4 linked regions of the Arabidopsis thaliana genome follow. The protein of the gene in region 1 interacts with the protein of each later gene in a biochemical or structural test. Each region holds a gene or a part of one and is shown on either strand. Other genes may lie near its edges. The genes, in order: CBL3, CIPK9, AT4G34840 and SIP4.

Region 1 (4,781 bases):
AACGCCTCAAGATCCGATCTTGGCACCAATCCTTTCAATTCTATCGCTTGGATGGTATCAGAGCTCATCGCTTTACTTTTACAGATCACTGTGATAACATCCACACTAGCTTTGTCCAAAAACGAGAGGCCTGTTTGGCCGATGAGGTTATGGATCACTGGCTACAACGTTGGATGTCTGCTCAATCTTATGTTACTATACGGTCGGTATCGTCAGCAAGATACTAGCCATGAAAATGCATTTAGCTTCGGCGATATTGAGCAGCAACAAAGAAGCAGGGAAGAGACCACCAGGTTACTAACAAAAATCTAGTTTTTTCAAGTTTGATCATAAAATGCAAAGATTTCTAGGAAAATGACTTATTTTTGTGTGTGTTTTAGGTGCTCGCATTTGATGAACAAATGCCGGACATCGCTGGAGCTATTCTTTGCGATATGGTTTGTGATAGGTAATGTATGGGTTTTTGATTCTCGGTTTGGTTCTTTCCACTATGCTCCAATCCTTCATGTCCTCTGCATCTCCCTACTCGCTTGGAACGCTCTCTGTTACTCCTTCCCATTTCTTCTCTTCCTCCTGCTCTGTTGTGTTGTACCTCTCGTTAGTAGCTTCCTCGGCTACAACATGAACGTTGGATCTTCGGAAAAAGGAGCTTCAGATGACCAGATCTCCAGTCTCCCAAGTTGGAAATACAAACTCATTGATGAAACTTCTGATTCTTCTCAAGCAAACAATGATCCGGTAAGCACTAATTTGAATTCTGAAATAGGTCAAATAGTCAGAAATCAATCTTGATATCAAAACTGAAACCCACCGGTTTCATTATTGCAGGAATGTTGTATATGTTTGGCAAAGTACAAAGAGAAAGAAGAAGTGAGAAAGCTTCCATGTTCGCATAGGTTTCACCTCAAATGCGTAGATCAATGGCTTCGTATCATCTCGTGTTGTCCTCTTTGCAAACAAGATCTCCCTAACTGAAAAATCAAAACAATACATGAGTCACAAGATTGAATCTCTGACCAAGTACCATATATGTGTTTTTTTTTTTTTCTGTTGCCGCCTAAACACGTTTACTTGTGTGAATGTCGTTATCATTCCTTTTTTTTTCTTGTGTACAAAGTAGCTCACCAGTAACTGTAATTTTACCTAAAAAAAAAGTTAAAAAACATGATCAATCTGTTGTTTTACCAGTAGAGTTTGTCCCTCTCTTACCATTAATCAAAGTTTTAATTGTTGGTTAATGTAACTAAGCTTATACTGGTTTTTGCTATAATATTTTTTCCAAAGACAATTTAAACCGAATTCAAACCCAGAGACCAAATCAGACCAAAGCAACAGTCAGAATCCGAATAACATGACACGCCGTCGTATAGGAACGATTATTGAAACGATGGTGTTTAAGACAGCGCATAAATGGACACATGCTCCACTAGACGACGACGTGTGAAAGTGAATGTAACAAGGAGTTTTATTACAACTGTATCAACATCGAGTAAAAATAAACAAAATTATTTATTTTTTAAATTTAAAAAGTATAAAAACGCCAACAAACAAAAATAATTTGGTCTTTTTCTTAGCATATTTAAAATTTTGCAATATATTCATTCTGCTTATAGAAAATCGTGTCGACCTTTTTTCTCTCACTTACCCAATAAGAGCTTTTTTCGCGTTTTCCACCGCAACCACCGTCACCTTCAACCGCCGGAGCCGCCGCAAGGAAGGCTCATCATCCGCCGTGGCGTAAGGCTTTTTCTTCTTCTCTTTCTCCCTTTTCTACGATTTCGCGGTCGGTCGCTTCCTCGTAATCTCGTGTGTTTATTCCGGGAAAATCGCGATGGGAAACAAGTTAAAATTTGAGATTGAGAATCAAGCAACTAATTTCTTCGCAAGCTGATAGATCCATGAGCTGATTACCAAGTTTATATAACGAGATTCATCGTTGTTGTATCTCTGAATCCGAACGATTTGGAATCTAAAACTCATTGGATCGCTTTTTCTCATATCCGTCATTTCTCCTTAGCTTAATCACTTCTCTGATTCATATCGCGATTAGATTCAGGTGTCGATCCTCAGAGGATTATATTTTCTGACGATTAATCCGTCTGGATAGTTTTATTATGTTCTTCATGATGCATTTTTTTTCCCCGCAAAATTCATGATGCATTTCTGACGTGAAATTGGGTGTTTTTGATTCCTCATTTTATCCTAGTTCATGTATTTTTTGGGGCTGTTTCTTAGATTTGGGTTTCGTGTTTTAGCTTAAAGATAGTTCCTAATCCATGAATACATTGGTTAATCTGGAAATGAATCTGGAGTTAAGATTAATGCATAAAGTTTACGACCGTTTATAATATGCGTCTCCTCTGTTTGTGTTTCATAGTATCTGGTGCTTTAGTCTAATTCAGATCTGATCTGAGAATGATGAATCTTGTTTGCTCCTGTCAATTCTTCTTTAACTGTTTTGCAATTTGATGAGCTAATAACTGACTATATCTCATTTCCTTCCCATCGCAGAATTTTTTGAGGTGTACAAAGCATTGCCTATTTGACGAACCAGGAAATGGTTAAAAGGTACTTATCTTGTTCAAATGCATATGTCTTTAGATTCTTCCAAGTGGTTCGAAAGTTCTTACATTTTATTGTTATTTAACAGGCATGGAGAGTTTTGATTTACAAGATATATCATGTCGCAGTGCATAGACGGTTTCAAGCATGTATGCTCCTCTTTTTTCCGGTGTTTTGATATCGATATTTACAAACAATCTGGAGGCCTTGGTGACCCTGAACTTCTTGCGAGAGAGACAGTTTGTATGCTCTCAACTTCTTTTCCATCTTATTTTAACTTCCATGCACTTTTTTTTTCCAGTTATATGTATGATTCAAAGGCTTGCCATTACTCTAGTTGATGCTCTCTGTTAAGAGGAATGCAAATCTTTCTTTCTGTGTTTTGATCATTGACTCGTTTGGGTGCAGTTAGCGTGAGTGAAATAGAGGCTCTCTATGAGCTGTTTAAGAAAATCAGCAGTGCTGTGATTGATGATGGGCTAATAAACAAGGTATGAAGGAAGGGCATCATTATATGTCTTTTATGCCACTCACTTATACTCCTCACGAATCATGCATATTGCTACGTCTTTTGGACATCCTTTTCTGATTTTCCTTGACCTGTCTTGTCGTTCAGGAAGAATTTCAGTTAGCCTTGTTCAAGACAAATAAAAAAGAGAGCTTGTTTGCAGACCGGGTATGTTCTTCTTTTTTAATCAAAAGACTTTGTTATCCATTTGCCAAGATCCTTTTTGAAAGATAACTTGACAGTACCAATCACAGGTATTCGATTTGTTTGACACAAAGCATAATGGAATACTGGGGTTTGAGGAGTTTGCGCGTGCTCTCTCTGTCTTTCATCCAAATGCTCCCATAGAAGACAAGATTGACTGTACGTCTTTGATCTTACAAAGTTGATCTGAGAAACCATCTATACAATTTATCTGATGTTGACATGCTACATGTAACCCATGAAATATCACTAACAGTTACCGGGAACATTGTTTTGCAGTTTCGTTTCAGCTATATGATCTTAAGCAGCAAGGTTTCATAGAGAGGCAAGAGGTGAAGCAAATGGTGGTGGCTACTCTTGCTGAGTCCGGCATGAACCTGTCAGACGAAATCATAGAGAGTATAATCGACAAGGTGTGGTTCCTTCCTACCCTGCTCGATACTATATTCTTGTTCCACTGTTGTATAGCCAACTCATGATAGCAGTTGAGAATAAAGTAAAGAGTGGTTTCTAAGTTTCTTCTTTCACAGACATTTGAGGAAGCTGATACAAAACATGACGGGAGGATCGATAAGGAAGAGTGGAGAACCCTTGTTCTCAGGCATCCTTCCCTTCTAAAGAATATGACTCTCCAGTATCTTAAGTGAGTTCCTAAACCAAGACTTATCCGAGGTTTAGGCAATGCAACTTCCAATTTTTTCTGTGTTATTATTAACACCGATCTCTGATATTGTGTGCAGGGATATAACAACTACATTTCCGAGCTTTGTGTTCCACTCGCAGGTGGAAGATACCTGAGAAAAACAATAGCATATTAGCAGAGGAGACAATTTGGGAATTGTGTTTGTTTTCTGATTATGTATCATGTCTATTTGTTTCAATCTCTCTGAACATTTTCAAGATTTTGTTGTTACTTGTGTGAATTAAAAGTAAAGAAAACAAATCTGTATTTTTGCTACTCCTGATTTTGATTGCTGATTTTCTCCTCGCATCTGTAGATATACTACTAACCTTGAGACATGAATCCTATTAATAAAGAGCAAACTGATGAAGTGATAATAGAGAGCAAAAAAGAGAGAACCCAACACCAAATGATCGGGTATGCTCTAGTCTGAATTCTGAAGTCAAAATTGAAATCACCGATTTGATCGAACCGGATGCAACATTACAACAATCGGATTTGTTAGTCTTGTGGTTGACTTTGTCAGTTAGAGTTGACAAAGTAATTAGCAAAGTTAGTGACGATTGTGTTCTGCATAAACACGTTTACTTTGAGGAATAAATTACTTACTCTTTCGGTCTTTCCTAATATATATGTTTTCCCTGTCTCAAAGATCTGAATAGGTATCAGAGCGCGTTGACAATCTCTTTTTTTGATCATCGATTTGTTCTCTCTTTCTTGGCTAAAAAGTTTCTATCTACACGACTCTCCATGGATTCAACAAGAAATTCAGCTTCTTCCAACTCCACGGGATGCTTTACGGATCAGAAAAAGCGAAAGGCACTC
Region 2 (5,965 bases), on another chromosome or scaffold:
ACACATTTTATGTTATGTATTACTAAATTACTACAAAAAAAACTCCTACAACTCCAAAATACACAATGGTTTAGATTTAGATATACATGTTTTTAGAACTAAAATTATTGAGGTATTTTATAATAGTACTCCAAGTTATAATTTCTGTTACGAGGCGAGAATAAACGTGGGAGAGGAAGGAAAAAAAGGTGCCGTGCGGTGCAACTAGATTTTACATATTTGTACACATATTTCACGATTGAATCTTTCAAGACATTATATGCTTTATCAAATTTTATATATATAACAATTAGATAAGAAACACAATCTGACCCGACTCTACTATTTATAATTATACGTATGAATCTCTAACTTCGTTACTAAAACGGCAAATACTAAACCCTGAAAGGAAACTGTGTGAGAAACAGTTAGGCCCCTTGACCATCTTTGTTCAACGTTGTCAACGAAAAAAAAATGGAACCATAAAGGATAATTAATTGTATCACAAAAAGACAAACACAAATTATTGAATATACCATCACTTATCAGTATATAATTTTATACAAATGCTTTAAATAACAAATATTATGTAGAAAAAGAGAAAAGAAACTTAACTTGGTCAATTTGATCATTTGTGTAAACGATGATGCGGAACATATGCGATAATAATGTTATTGGATGGCAAAAAAAAAAAAAAGTATTTTAGTTGGGCCCTAATGTTAATTCACAATCAAGCCTAAATTTGGTTAATGGGCCAATCTTTCTTATATATGTAGGACTCGGATGTTCGGTCTACTCGAACTATCTACAAACCAAGCTAAACCGAAAGTAAATACAAAATCAAACCAAATAATAGTTTGGTTTATATAGGTTTTAAATTTTAATCCATATAATCCAATAAGTTCCAACTCATAACCAGGAAAATAAAAAAAATGTGGAATGAAGAAGTTCAAATTGATAACCAAATGAATTGCTTTCATATGATGGTGACGTGATGTTTTTGTACCGGACTCAATTATTGGAACGAGTGGTTCATTGTGCATTATTTGCATTTTCTTTTGTTCGTAATATACTAACATATCTAAAAAATTATTGTATCATTATTACTAGTCATGCAATAAATCATCAACTCACACTGTCTGCCACACTTTTTTAATTTTTCTGCGTATTTTGGCATTATCATATGAAAGAAAATAAGAGAAACAAATAAAGGAAAGAAGAAAAATAAAAACATTATCACATTCTGTGAAATCTCTGAGTTTATCAGGAAGGATATGTGGGGTTCATATTCATACCGTTCCCTTTACTCACATCGTCACATGGAAAGATCAACTATTTCAATTATCTATTTATTTATTATCATATACTTTAAATAATCAAATTTAGAACCGTTACAAACAAAAATAAACAGCTACATCAAATTTAAACAAAAGTAAGTATATGCGAATATTATCATAGATTTAAACAAAATTTGACCAAGATATAACAATCATCATTTAACTACCAACATTTGATATATGTATTTATTGTTCTTAGGTAGTTTCCAACTTCTAACTAAAGACAAAAAAAAAAGTTATATTTAGAGAATATTTCTACATGAAAAGAATACAACTATATCAAATAATATGATAACAGTCAACTTTGAACATCAGTAGAATGGAATGAATCACTGAAAGATATACTCATATACACATAAAGATTAAGGACATCAAATCACATCCCTTACAAATAAAACCATATCCACATAAATTTAAAACCCCAAAATTTTCATAAAATCCATATACTTAAACAGGAGTTTCTGTATATAGTTACCACACAAGAACAAAATTATGGAATTTTTTTATATGAATGAAGAATGAACGTTACGAACGTACACAAGTACAAATAACACGGGACTGACGCGGAACAGAGCAAAATAATGATTTTTGACATTACGTGGCATACGGGACCCACAATACGCGCGTGACTCCCAGTCGCGCCTATTAAATCTCTCGCTCGTCCACTTTCTCTCGTCAGCCTTAAAACCAGGCAGCCACTAGAAGAAGGAGAGATATTGAGGGAGAAGAATCACATTGATAGATTCGCCGCCGATCTAGAGCCGTTGATTTTCTTAATCGGAAAAAGAAAATGAGTGGAAGCAGAAGGAAGGCGACGCCGGCGAGTAGGACGCGAGTAGGGAATTACGAGATGGGACGAACTCTCGGAGAAGGAAGCTTCGCTAAGGTGAAATACGCCAAGAACACCGTCACCGGAGATCAAGCCGCTATCAAAATCCTCGACCGAGAAAAGGTCTTCCGTCACAAAATGGTCGAACAGGTTCGTTAATTGTGTTTGGTTTGATCACGTAAAATGATTATGGATTTGTTTGTTTTTAAGTACTATAAAGAACAGTTTAATTTCGTGATTAGGGACCCACATGTCCTCCTAGGTTGGTGTTCGGTTATTAAGGTTAATGTTTGATTAAAGTGTTAACAATAATATTTTAAAATATCGAATTTTGTATGAATGTTTTTGTTTCTGTATATATCTACACGATGCTGATCTTAGTACGCATTGATCAAGATAACTATTAACTATGATATGGATATGGTTTTGAAGTTCGAGTAGCTTTGTTTTTGATTTGGTTCGATTTGAATCTGTTGAAGATTTAGTTTTGTATGCTATATATGTATGATTGGAAGTTATGAGCAAGATCTCGAAGATATAATGATCATAAAGTTTTATTTTTTTGTTGTTGTGCAGCTTAAAAGAGAAATATCTACAATGAAACTGATTAAACATCCAAATGTGGTTGAAATCATTGAGGTACGAAACTAATTAGTTATCATTCCTTAGATATTTTTTAAATTAAGTTTTGAATCTTAGCGTGTAAAACATCTCTCTGTGGTAGGTTATGGCGAGCAAAACGAAGATCTATATCGTTCTTGAGCTTGTCAATGGAGGTGAACTCTTTGATAAAATCGTAAGTAACCTAACTTAGAGAATCTTCCTCTCTTTTCTCTTCACAAATATTGACATATGTTCTCTGTCTTTCTCTCTTCTTACTCTTATGTTAATTCTTGGATTTAAATCATATACATAGGCGCAACAAGGGAGGCTTAAGGAGGATGAAGCTCGGAGATATTTTCAGCAGCTCATCAATGCTGTGGATTACTGCCACAGTCGAGGTGTCTACCACAGAGATCTCAAGGTCTTTCTTTTGTTTTTGTGCACTCTTCTTGTTTCCTGTGATTACGATATTCATTCTTCTTAGTTCTTATTCAAGTTTCTTTTGTTATCATCTGTTCCTTGTTGCAGCCTGAAAATCTGATCCTTGACGCAAATGGGGTTTTGAAAGTCTCTGATTTTGGGTTAAGCGCCTTCTCACGACAAGTTCGGGTAATGCCATTATATTTTTCACTTGGCAATTAATTTCTGATATATATAACCAAGATATCAATTTGAATGAAGTGTTCTAAGCATTGTTCTTTTGAATGCAGGAAGATGGTTTGCTTCATACAGCTTGTGGAACGCCAAACTACGTTGCCCCTGAGGTATTATGTACTAACTTTCAGCACTTAAAAAGGCAAAGAATATGAAATGTTCTGTAGATCCTCTTTGGAAAATAAGATTTTAAGGAATTCAAGAACTGCTAATACGTTTTTAAAAAGGAAGGAAATCTAACAAATGCTATACGTATATATAGACTTCATTTGCAGAATCTTCTTTATTTATGATGTATATAAGAGATATGCCTTTAATGTTGTCTACTGCATTGTGTTGGATTTGCTGGCAGGTTTTGTCGGACAAAGGCTATGACGGTGCAGCAGCAGATGTCTGGTCTTGTGGTGTCATTCTCTTTGTGCTTATGGCTGGTTACTTGCCTTTTGATGAGCCGAATCTCATGACATTATACAAACGTGTACGTGTAAATTATCTCTCCCTCTGCTTCTTGATCTTCTGCAGTACTTTTCTAGTCTCATCTTTGGTGTTTAATATATACTTTAGATATGCAAGGCTGAGTTTAGCTGCCCACCATGGTTCTCGCAAGGTGCCAAGAGAGTCATCAAGCGTATTCTCGAACCCAACCCTATTACCGTAAGTGCCTCTTACATGAAGTAATAGTTGTGAAAATGTGAACATGACATGCTGCCAACCATAGATTGTGCAAGAGCTTAAGTATGTACTTATTTCTGAAATGCAGAGAATAAGTATTGCAGAGTTGCTCGAAGATGAATGGTTCAAGAAAGGGTACAAGCCGCCATCATTTGACCAAGATGACGAGGACATAACCATAGATGATGTTGATGCTGCTTTTAGTAACTCCAAGGTAAACACCGCCATTTCCAAATTCTCCATCTGGTTGTGTATATCATAGTTCGGTTTAAGTAAACCAATGTATTGTTACCAACTAATATCACTCTTTTTGTGCTGCTACTCTAGGAATGTCTTGTAACTGAGAAGAAGGAGAAACCTGTATCCATGAACGCTTTCGAACTTATCTCTAGCTCAAGCGAGTTCAGTCTTGAAAACTTGTTCGAGAAGCAAGCGGTAAGAACTTTTTTCTACTTACAGTTTGTCTTGATTTTCTAAAATCATGCATAGGTTTTATCTAACTAAATCTGATTTGTTGTTGTTTGCAGCAACTTGTGAAGAAAGAAACGCGGTTTACTTCTCAACGATCTGCGAGTGAAATAATGTCGAAAATGGAAGAAACCGCAAAGCCATTAGGCTTTAATGTCCGTAAAGACAACTACAAGGTCTGTTCTTCTTCTTCTTCTTCTTCTTGATTTTGTTTGTGTCAACTAATGTCTTTGTAGCTTCGTTAAACATTGTTTAAGTAAACTTCGCAGATAAAAATGAAAGGAGACAAAAGTGGTCGTAAAGGTCAGCTCTCCGTAGCTACAGAGGTAAGAAAGAAAAAAATACTCCGGTTCAGTTCGGTTTTTGGATTTTGATGAATATCGTTATCTAATTGTTATGGTTTGGTAATCGGTTTAATAGGTGTTTGAAGTGGCGCCATCATTGCATGTGGTAGAGCTTAGGAAAACCGGTGGTGATACCCTCGAGTTTCACAAGGTATGTGATTCGGTTTGATCTTCATCAAAAACCGGTTCGGTTTTGATCCGGTTAACATCTCTAGTTTAGTGTTTAAATTGGTTTTATGTTTGAATCTCTTTTGCAGTTCTACAAAAACTTCTCATCTGGATTAAAGGATGTAGTCTGGAATACTGATGCAGCCGCTGAAGAACAAAAGCAATAAGAAATAACAAGTTGTTCAATTCAAAGTTTTTAATCAATGTTGAACATGTATAATGAATAGTAAACATTCTGGAGTTGGCAATATACAAGTATTGCTGACAAAAGAGCCAAACTAGAACTAGAAGTGGTCTATAGAGGTAGATCACCATAGGTTAGTCAATAGCCACATATGTGATCATCCTCAAACTCGGTTTGAAACCTATAAATCAAAGTTCAAACAATTCAATTAGGCAAAAAATACTCTGCAAGCTGGCTATTTGAGTATAGTTGAAAGTTGCAACGATGTTGTCGCTTTATGGCAACGCGTTACAATGACACAACATATATAACAATTTGGAAAACACAATGATAGAATTATTAAAGAGAGGTTATCTTAGCTACATAGATCTACGTTTGCAACCAAAAAAAAAAAGTTTTATTTTGATGTACAGTCACACATTGATGACGGAGTGGTTTCTAGTGAGGAGTTGGTGTTGAGCAGACCAACGTTAATTGCCCAATAAGTTGTGTGAGTTGTCTAATCTTTCAAATCAAACAGCCCGTAAAGCCCATAAAGTCGCAAATTTCGCATTCCAAAGTTTTTAAGAATGGAGAAACGTTCAGATTCAGAGAGTGTAGAGATTTTGGGTGATTGGGATTCACCTCCTCCGGAAGAAAGAATCGTAATGGTTTCTGTTCCCACTTCACCAGAATCTGATTACGCGAGATCGAATCAACCGAAAGAGATCGAATCTAGGGTTTCAGA
Region 3 (4,374 bases), 3.2 Mb from region 1:
AAGTAAAGAATTAGCAGTGACAGAAGAGGAAGGAAAGGAAAGCCAAGATTCAAACCAGATAAAACTTATTACCTTCCATCTCTAAGTAAACGGTTGTAAGCATCACTAGTTTCTGGAGAACGTCCATTACTATTATGTAGCTCAAAATTTCGAGCAGGGAACTGGGGCATGCTTTCATCAATTTGGTGACCCACATGCTTCCCATCACTTGGAAATTTCCAGTCTCCTTTAACATCTTTCCTAATGTGGGATACACCACCGTTACTGTGTGCCACAAGGTTTTCTTCTTGCACATCACCTGAAACGGAAATTAACTTTAAGGAAACATTGTAATGGATTGGCAATGCAAGCTTCTTAGAAAGCAAACATAAGATTGTGTCAAATCTGACACAGTAAGTACAACATTGTCAACGTACCAGTAGCCTGACCAGAACTCTGTCCTGGGAACTGAGTATCAATTACTCCATTGTTCTTGTGGTCCAGGAATAAACTATTAGTTGCAGAAGTAACAGCAGGAGAGACGGCTTTAAGACTTGGCAACCGTGATGACTTGGCTGATGAATGATTAGACCCATAGAATGTGTGAATCTCTTCTCTCTTACTCTCGGCAAAGATGCTGTACTCGAGAGGCTTCTGGAGCAAACCATTGTACTCATACTCTAGAGCACGTGTATCATCTACCACCTGTGGAGAAGCAATCGAATGAATTCCCACCACTGCCTGTGAAAAATCATGCTCCAAACCCTTCTGATCTTCGCTATTTCCAACTTGTTTTTCAGGTGTTTTTACTCCAAAGGTAGCTGATTCCAAAGCAACAGACCCATTAACAATAGAAGATGAAAAGGATTCATCTATTAAGGTATGTGCCGTGGCAACTGTGGTCACACTAGCAACAGCAAACTGAGAATCCTCAGCTGAAACTGAATCATAATCCATCACAGCAACTTCATGGATTTGATGAGCCTTTTCTTCCTCCAAAAGATTCACACTTTCTTCCTCTACCTTTCTGAAACCTACATTTATTTCCACAGGATTGCCTTCATGAATATCTCCATGAATTTCCCGCCGATTCTCAGCACTATTTTTTCCGCCATGAACCGTTGCAACCTGAAAAGCTTAGCTAGTCAGAACCAGAATTCTTATCGAATTTTACAAAAAGTCAGCAACTTTATGCACTCTAATGAAACAAAACTTAAAAATTAGTTAAAACAAGCAAAACCCTTCGCTCAGAAATTTCAGTTACCTCATCGGAAGATTTCCGCTTCCTGAAAGTACTTTGGCAATAAGCGAAAGCAATGGCAGAGAACGCAGTGACAGCAACAACAATAAGAATCAAACCAGAATCGATAGAAGCTCTAACAACTAAACGAGGCGATCGAATTGAAGAACGACGAGAATTGCGTTTCCCGGCGCGAGTTCGAAGATGAGGAGAAGGACGGAGACTATGACAACAACCAAGAAAATCACGGCGGAGAGTAGAAGCCGGAAGAATCACCGGAGAGTACGAAGTTAAGGTAAGGTATTTAGAAGATCTGGTAGTGGAGATGAAGGTGGTGGAGGTAACCTCCATTGGAGAGGCTTAGAGAGAAAACGATTAGAGGATAAAGCTTCAGAGAAGGAAGTGAGGATATGAAATAACGAACGACTCTCTTCTTCGCATTGTGGACCCCTTGCTTACGTGGCATAAACGGCCGTCAAGTCGTCAACGTTGTTTATATTAAAAAAAACATATTTTATTAATTATGCTAAAATTTTATTGGGCCTGGGTCCGAGTAGTGGATAGGATTCGGGTCGGATCCGGGTTTTTGTTTTCCGGGGGAAATCTAGAAATTTGATCTTGACGAATCGCCGGCGACGGATTCTCAGACGCTGCTATGGAAGGTGTTATGGGTCAGGTAGAGAAACGGCCGATTTCTACCATCGTCTTCATCGTTGGTACTATTTTGTCTTTACTATTTCTCGAATTGTGATTTTTTTTTCTTCTTCTAATGGGTTTGTGTATTAAAAGCTATGCAAAAGGAAGCTCAGCCTCTGATCAACAGATTACGCCTCGTTGAAGAAGTTAATACTCCGTGAGTTCTTTGACCTCTTTCAATTTTTTATTTTGATTCGAAATCAAATGTGATAGCTTTTTTGTAGGTTTCCAAAAGAGGTGACTTGGATTATGTTTAAGGGAATGTATAAAGACTTGAACATCAATATAGTGTGTCCTGGAAAAGATTCAACTCTTGGTATGTGTATCCATGTGGTTAAGTGATTGTAAGTGAAATAGTGTTTCAAGATGTTTTGTGAAGTTCTTGATGTTAATTCGTTTTTCAGGGGTTGAGAGTGTTGGCACAGTTCCTGCATCACTCGTGACTTATGCTTCCATTCTAGCAATTCAACCAGACTTAATCATTAATGCGGGAACCGCTGGTGGCTTTAAGGTATCAACATTACAAATTTCTCTACATAGTTCTCGTTTCATGCCTCTTATGTGTCAGAAATAATGAACACCCTTCCTTGTTTTTAAATGGTCTTTTCAGGCCAAAGGAGCATGTATTAGCGATGTTTATGTTGTCTCTACTGTTGCTTTCCATGACAGAAGAATACCTGTTCCTGTAAGTGCTCCTTTGTATTGTTCATGTATCAGTATGAGTTGCAAAGTAAACCTGATGTTCTTGAGTGTTATACTTGCATTCTAATTCCATATATTTTTGCCCTTTCCTAAACATTTTTATACTTTCTGCAGGTCCTTGATATATATGGTGTTGGTATGCGGAACACCTTCCCCACACCCAACCTTATAAAGGAGCTGAACCTAAAGGTGTATACTTTATTAGTTGCTCTGAGTTCACCATTTGATCCTCATGCAAGATTTTGGTTATTTCTTGATATGGTTTGCATAAGTGGTAGATTTATGATTTAGTTGCAATGTTCCCAGGTGGGAAGATTATCCACTGGCGATTCTATGGATATGTCTCCACATGACGAAGAATCCATCACAGCAAATGATGCTACAGTTAAAGATATGGAGGTCAACAATCCATAAGTTTCCTGTGTTGATGTACCTGGCTCCATACTATGTGTTTGTCTTTGTGTCTTTATCAGTTACTACGACTTATTTACGGATTCTTGGCATTTCAGGGAGCAGCAGTGGCCTATGTGGCTGATATCTTTAAAGTGCCTACGATTCTAATAAAAGGTGTGACTGATATTGTGGATGGCAATAGACCAACTTCTGAAGAATTTTTGGAGAACTTAGCTGCAGTCACTGCCAAACTTGATGAGTCACTTACCAAAGTGATTGACTTCATCAGTGGGAAATGTCTCTCAGACCTCTAACAAGTCATACGTATTAAGTTTCATCTGTTCAGTATGTGCATTGGGCGAAGAAAGCATATGAAGATTCAAGCAAAGGGCGTAGGTAGGGAATAGGTTTGAGCAGAAATTTCAACTCTTCACCTTTTCTCATTTGTTCCTCTATTTCTTTTTGCTGTCTTTCTATTGATGATCCATCATACATGTAGAAACTCAGCAAATTTGATACCCAACAACAGAGTCATAATTCTTTAATATCAATTTCGAATGATTGATGTTAACAGAAGAAAAAATTTAGTTAGTTTCTCTTTCATTCTTTTTAAGTGTGAAGATGTACAAAACAACTATAACTATAACACACCTTTGTGTTGGCTTTTAACTAAGCCTAAAGACTATGTATCAAGAAAAAAATCTCAAAGAACTGGAGTTGGATTTTAGAAAGAGCCAATGCAATAAACATGAAGCTTCTAAATCTCACACCTACTCTTCACCAAATATCAACTAGACAGAAATACCGCACAATATGCAGGTCACAAAACTGCAAAAGCTGCAGTGTATATATATGCCTTCACTTTGAACCTTATTTACAGACCCAAGATTTGAGTCTTCAACAAACAGATACAAATGGGAAGCATCGATGCTGCAGTGTTGGGTTCAGAGAAGAAATCAAACCCGGGAAAAGCCACAATTCTTGCTCTGGGAAAAGCCTTTCCTCACCAGCTAGTAATGCAAGAGTACTTAGTCGATGGCTACTTCAAAACCACCAAGTGTGATGACCCTGAACTCAAACAGAAACTTACTCGTCTCTGTAATCTCTTCATTTTAACCTCTGTTTTCAACTTTTTATCTCATTCTGTAAGCTCCTGCAACAGCAACTGAGGTTTGTTTGAACTGTTCGTTTACTATATACAGGCAAGACAACAACGGTGAAGACAAGGTATGTTGTGATGTCAGAGGAGATTCTCAAGAAGTACCCAGAACTTGCCATTGAAGGAGGATCCACAGTGACGCAGCGTCTAGACATCTGCAACGATGCAGTGACCGAGATGGCAGTAGAAGCCTCCAGAGCCTGCA
Region 4 (4,127 bases), on another chromosome or scaffold:
CAAGTTGTACATGCCATGATCTTTTATAATATATATACTCACATATATACATTATATATATGAATTATATGCATGTTCGTAGTTATATCTTGCCTCTACTCCAAATATTTATTATACATTGACATGTTGCTAGGACAACCTCAACGTGAAACTTTTGCTGATAAATTGATTGATGATGCTCGTATAGACGATATGACGTTCTTAGCATATGATTTCGTATATGGTGACATAATTCATGAATAATATCAACATTTGGTGTCAAAAGGAAACATATTTCTTGTCTTCTTCTTCAACGTACTTGCTTATAATGAACAAAAAATAAAAAAACGTACTCGCTTTCTAATAAGTATCACATAGGTTTAGGCTCATAAACATATGGACTAACATAAATAAACCAAAAGCCCAATAACATTACTCTTAGCATATACATATAAGTAAACTATTAACATCTGTCTGCGGGACTCGTTGATTTCATTTAAATTCTGTAGTCTCAGCTCGTTCAATTTAATCTATTCGTACACACTGATAATATTCAAGAAAACATATGCTAACGTATAACGTATTACGTATCCAAATACACCTTACACCACTCACACATAGCCCATATATAAAAGTTTGAAGGATTTAAAGTCGCAGACTCGCGGTCATTTTTTTTCTTTAAAGTCGCAGTCATTGACTGACTGATTCTTCTTTCTTATTGAAAGGTTTTTTATGTAAAGACGAAAGTTTAATCAGGATGTGAATATGGTACGGCCCATGTTCTTTATTCCTTTTTTTTTTTTTGGTGCAAAGTTCTTTCTTATTCTATGTTAGAAAAATAATCAAATTACCGACGCGAGCAAAGGTTATTATTTCCTGGCTATTAGTCTATAACTGATAAATAATTAGTCAATCAGATCAAACAATAGAGAAATAATTAGTCTGCAATCAGCGATTATTAAAAAATAAAATAAAATAGAAACATATCTCAGCACCGATTTTTCAACAGCCGGCCCACGATCCAGAACCGTCCAGCTTGAAGCCGGCGCCGCGTCGACTTGTTCCACCGTTCGGATATTGCCACGTGTGTGAGAGACACCTGCCATTACCTCGTGGAACATGTTTTGTTAGTATAAGTTACTAACCAAGTCGCTATCTTCAATTCTTCATTACCTAAGAGTTGAATAAAAAAACAACCATATACGATGAGACACGCAAATAACTGATATACGAAACAATTATTTATTGATGTACATTCTTCTAACTATAATACTACAAGATTCTGAATAGTTTTAGATGTAAAAAGTACGAGAAGAGTTATGATCAGAGTAAGTTAAGTGATAAGATCATGACACGTAGGCAGAGGAAATAAAGTAGAAACTATCGACAACATAATAATTGAGTGAGTACAAAAACCACGTAATAATTAGGTGTACACTGTAGTCTGTAGATCGATTGTACAAAATGAAAAAACTATATGATTTAAGGAACTAGATATACATATGCATCGACTCAAGAACAGTTGCTTTATGTGAAGACTATCAATTACATTATCGGCTAAATTTGGCTTCATGTGTTGAATAGATGGATTGTGTGCTCAGGTAGTTGTGTCAGTTAATTATAACAGTAAACCTTCACTGCTTCACATATATAAAATTTGGGTTAAAAAAACTTTAACATTTTATTTTTTTAATTGACAACAAACAAATTCTGTAACGGTTACATATAATAGTGCTTCAGTTAAACTCCTTTTTTAGGCAACTCTAATTCCTTTATACCCTTAATCCATTATTATTCTATCGAACTTATCTTTTTAAAAGCTTCCGCGTTACGCCATCACTTCTCCACCATTTAAATACCTAAACCACTTTCTTTCAAATTTCTTATTCCATAAAAAGTAAATTCACAACAAAACCAAAAAAAAAAAAAGAGAAGAAGAATTAGCTTACGTGTTCATCACATCTGCATTACGCGCAAACGAAACAGATTCAAATTCTCCGGCGAAGTTTTCTTATTCATCAATCAATCTCTGGATTCATCAATCATGCCAGAGATCGAGATTGCCGCCGGCAGCGGCGACAACAACGACGCCTTATTCGGTAAATATGAGCTCGGAAAGCTTCTCGGATGCGGCGCATTCGCCAAAGTCTTCCACGCACGTGATCGTCGTACCGGCCAAAGCGTCGCCGTGAAAATCCTCAACAAGAAAAAACTCCTCACAAATCCAGCTCTAGCCAACAACATCAAACGCGAGATCTCAATCATGAGAAGATTATCTCATCCAAACATCGTCAAGCTCCACGAAGTAATGGCGACAAAATCAAAGATCTTCTTCGCAATGGAGTTTGTTAAAGGAGGAGAACTATTCAACAAAATCTCAAAACATGGACGTCTTAGCGAAGATTTAAGCCGGAGATATTTCCAGCAACTGATCTCCGCCGTTGGTTATTGCCACGCTCGCGGTGTTTACCACCGCGATCTCAAACCAGAGAATCTATTAATAGACGAAAACGGAAACTTAAAAGTTTCCGATTTCGGTCTAAGCGCGTTAACGGATCAGATCCGACCCGATGGGTTGTTACATACCTTGTGTGGTACTCCGGCGTACGTTGCGCCGGAGATTCTATCTAAAAAAGGATATGAAGGTGCTAAAGTTGATGTATGGTCTTGTGGAATCGTCTTGTTCGTTCTCGTCGCCGGTTATTTACCGTTTAACGATCCGAATGTGATGAATATGTATAAGAAGATTTATAAAGGAGAGTATCGTTTTCCTCGTTGGATGTCTCCAGATCTGAAACGATTCGTTTCTCGTCTTTTAGATATTAATCCTGAGACTAGAATCACCATTGATGAGATTTTGAAAGATCCTTGGTTTGTTAGAGGAGGTTTTAAACAGATCAAGTTCCACGATGACGAGATCGAAGATCAGAAAGTGGAATCGTCACTAGAAGCTGTGAAGAGTTTAAACGCGTTTGATTTGATTTCTTACTCGTCGGGATTGGATTTGTCGGGATTGTTTGCTGGTTGTAGTAATTCGAGTGGTGAATCGGAGAGGTTTTTATCGGAAAAGTCGCCGGAGATGTTGGCGGAGGAAGTGGAGGGGTTTGCGAGAGAGGAGAATCTGAGGATGAAGAAGAAGAAGGAGGAAGAGTATGGGTTTGAGATGGAGGGGCAAAATGGGAAATTTGGTATCGGGATTTGTATTTCGCGGTTGAATGATTTGCTTGTGGTGGTGGAGGCACGGCGGAGAGGTGGTGATGGTGATTGTTATAAGGAGATGTGGAATGGTAAACTCAGGGTTCAACTTATTCGCGTTTGCGATCAGACGTCGTCAACAAACGCGGCTATTTAAAAGAACGCTATGAAGTTTTCTACCGTGCTTTCAATTTTAAAACGCCAATCGCGTTTCGTTGGTTGGATTTGGTTTCTACTACTTTTGTTTCGGAATTAAAAACAGAGAAAAAATAATAAAAATTAATGTATGTATTTAAATACTGTACCAAATTGTAGGTATCTATTTTGTGCTTTTTGATCAATGTGTTACTATGTACAACAACAAGTCTAAAATTGCATTTGTAGATACTTCACTCTTTTGTATAATGTAGAAAATGTTCTTCTATTTATAGTTTGGATTTTCCAATTTTACACATTTGTACATAACTACTTTTTAAAATCAACCATGCAAATTGTATTAAGTTAAAGTGCATGATAACCAAATCAGATTAATAACCAATGAATTGAAAATAAAAAGTAGATAAATTACTAAAATAAAATAATCTCTAAATCGCATAAACTCATCTAAACTCTCAAAAATCCATACATTACACATTTTTTTTTTTTTCAAAAAGGCTTTCAATTCTATACATTTTTCTGCTTATCAAATATGGCTTCTTCACTTTAATATTTATGTATAGAATTGAAAGCATTTTTGAAAGAAAAACTTTGTGTAATGTATTATTGAACAAATGAAATGATTGAAATGGGAGTTCCACATCCAGTGAAGAAAAAGCATTAAAAAGTATGTATAGAATCAGGGAACTTCAAAAATTGAAATCTGCAGCTTTATAAAAAGAAAAGCTATTATTGTCTACTTGATTGGATATTACAACTCAAAACGAGTGAAGGTTAAGGAATCATTATCATTATTA

Evidence for each region.
Region 2: the proteins of CBL3 (region 1) and CIPK9 form a complex in vitro, tested with the Arabidopsis thaliana proteins (one study listed by BioGRID).
Region 3: the proteins of CBL3 (region 1) and AT4G34840 form a complex in vitro, tested with the Arabidopsis thaliana proteins (one study listed by BioGRID).
Region 4: of the proteins of CBL3 (region 1) and SIP4, one has a biochemical effect on the other in vitro, tested with the Arabidopsis thaliana proteins (one study listed by BioGRID).

The regions. Positions count from the first base shown.
Region 1 is NC_003075.7:13,407,899-13,412,679, reverse strand, and holds CBL3 (calcineurin B-like 3), read left to right. Parts: upstream 1-1,609; 5' UTR 1,610-2,056; intron 2,057-2,511; 5' UTR 2,512-2,568; intron 2,569-2,650; 5' UTR 2,651-2,681; coding exon 2,682-2,805; intron 2,806-2,970; coding exon 2,971-3,053; intron 3,054-3,178; coding exon 3,179-3,238; intron 3,239-3,312; coding exon 3,313-3,433; intron 3,434-3,553; coding exon 3,554-3,687; intron 3,688-3,804; coding exon 3,805-3,917; intron 3,918-4,014; coding exon 4,015-4,072; 3' UTR 4,073-4,258; downstream 4,259-4,781. Other genes in the region: AT4G26580 (RING/U-box superfamily protein), read left to right, coding at 1-293, 381-738, 829-975; CBL7 (calcineurin B-like protein 7), read left to right, coding at 4,707-4,781. UniProt on the Arabidopsis thaliana protein: Acts as a calcium sensor. CBL proteins interact with CIPK serine-threonine protein kinases. Binds calcium ions. Binding of a CBL protein to the regulatory NAF domain of a CIPK protein lead to the activation of the kinase in a calcium-dependent manner.
Region 2 is NC_003070.9:63,654-69,618, reverse strand, and holds CIPK9 (CBL-interacting protein kinase 9), read left to right. Parts: upstream 1-1,993; 5' UTR 1,994-2,106; coding exon 2,107-2,295; intron 2,296-2,721; coding exon 2,722-2,784; intron 2,785-2,869; coding exon 2,870-2,941; intron 2,942-3,061; coding exon 3,062-3,169; intron 3,170-3,276; coding exon 3,277-3,357; intron 3,358-3,458; coding exon 3,459-3,512; intron 3,513-3,754; coding exon 3,755-3,880; coding exon of another isoform or gene 3,881-3,886; intron 3,887-3,966; coding exon 3,967-4,056; intron 4,057-4,162; coding exon 4,163-4,288; intron 4,289-4,401; coding exon 4,402-4,509; intron 4,510-4,601; coding exon 4,602-4,718; intron 4,719-4,811; coding exon 4,812-4,868; intron 4,869-4,962; coding exon 4,963-5,049; intron 5,050-5,143; coding exon 5,144-5,221; 3' UTR 5,222-5,452; downstream 5,453-5,965. Other genes in the region: AT1G01130 (CBL-interacting Serine/Threonine-kinase), read left to right, coding at 5,808-5,965. UniProt on the Arabidopsis thaliana protein: CIPK serine-threonine protein kinases interact with CBL proteins. Binding of a CBL protein to the regulatory NAF domain of CIPK protein lead to the activation of the kinase in a calcium-dependent manner. Involved in K(+) homeostasis under low-K(+) stress.
Region 3 is NC_003075.7:16,604,425-16,608,798, forward strand, and holds AT4G34840 (Phosphorylase superfamily protein), read left to right. Parts: upstream 1-1,797; 5' UTR 1,798-1,874; coding exon 1,875-1,935; intron 1,936-2,008; coding exon 2,009-2,072; exon of another isoform or gene 2,073-2,139; coding exon 2,140-2,231; intron 2,232-2,319; coding exon 2,320-2,426; intron 2,427-2,525; coding exon 2,526-2,600; intron 2,601-2,731; coding exon 2,732-2,806; intron 2,807-2,923; coding exon 2,924-3,016; coding exon of another isoform or gene 3,017-3,031; exon of another isoform or gene 3,032-3,126; coding exon 3,127-3,324; 3' UTR 3,325-3,868; downstream 3,869-4,374. Other genes in the region: MRL1 (Pentatricopeptide repeat (PPR) superfamily protein), read right to left, coding at 73-298, 417-1,107, 1,244-1,570; LAP5 (Chalcone and stilbene synthase family protein), read left to right, coding at 3,925-4,108, 4,213-4,374. UniProt on the Arabidopsis thaliana protein: Enzyme of the methionine cycle that catalyzes the irreversible cleavage of the glycosidic bond in 5'-methylthioadenosine (MTA) and S-adenosylhomocysteine (SAH/AdoHcy) to a lesser extent, to adenine and the corresponding thioribose, 5'-methylthioribose and S-ribosylhomocysteine, respectively.
Region 4 is NC_003071.7:12,936,469-12,940,595, reverse strand, and holds SIP4 (SOS3-interacting protein 4), read left to right. Parts: upstream 1-1,761; 5' UTR 1,762-2,023; coding exon 2,024-3,331; 3' UTR 3,332-3,617; downstream 3,618-4,127. Other genes in the region: CHAL (allergen-like protein), read left to right, coding at 1-19.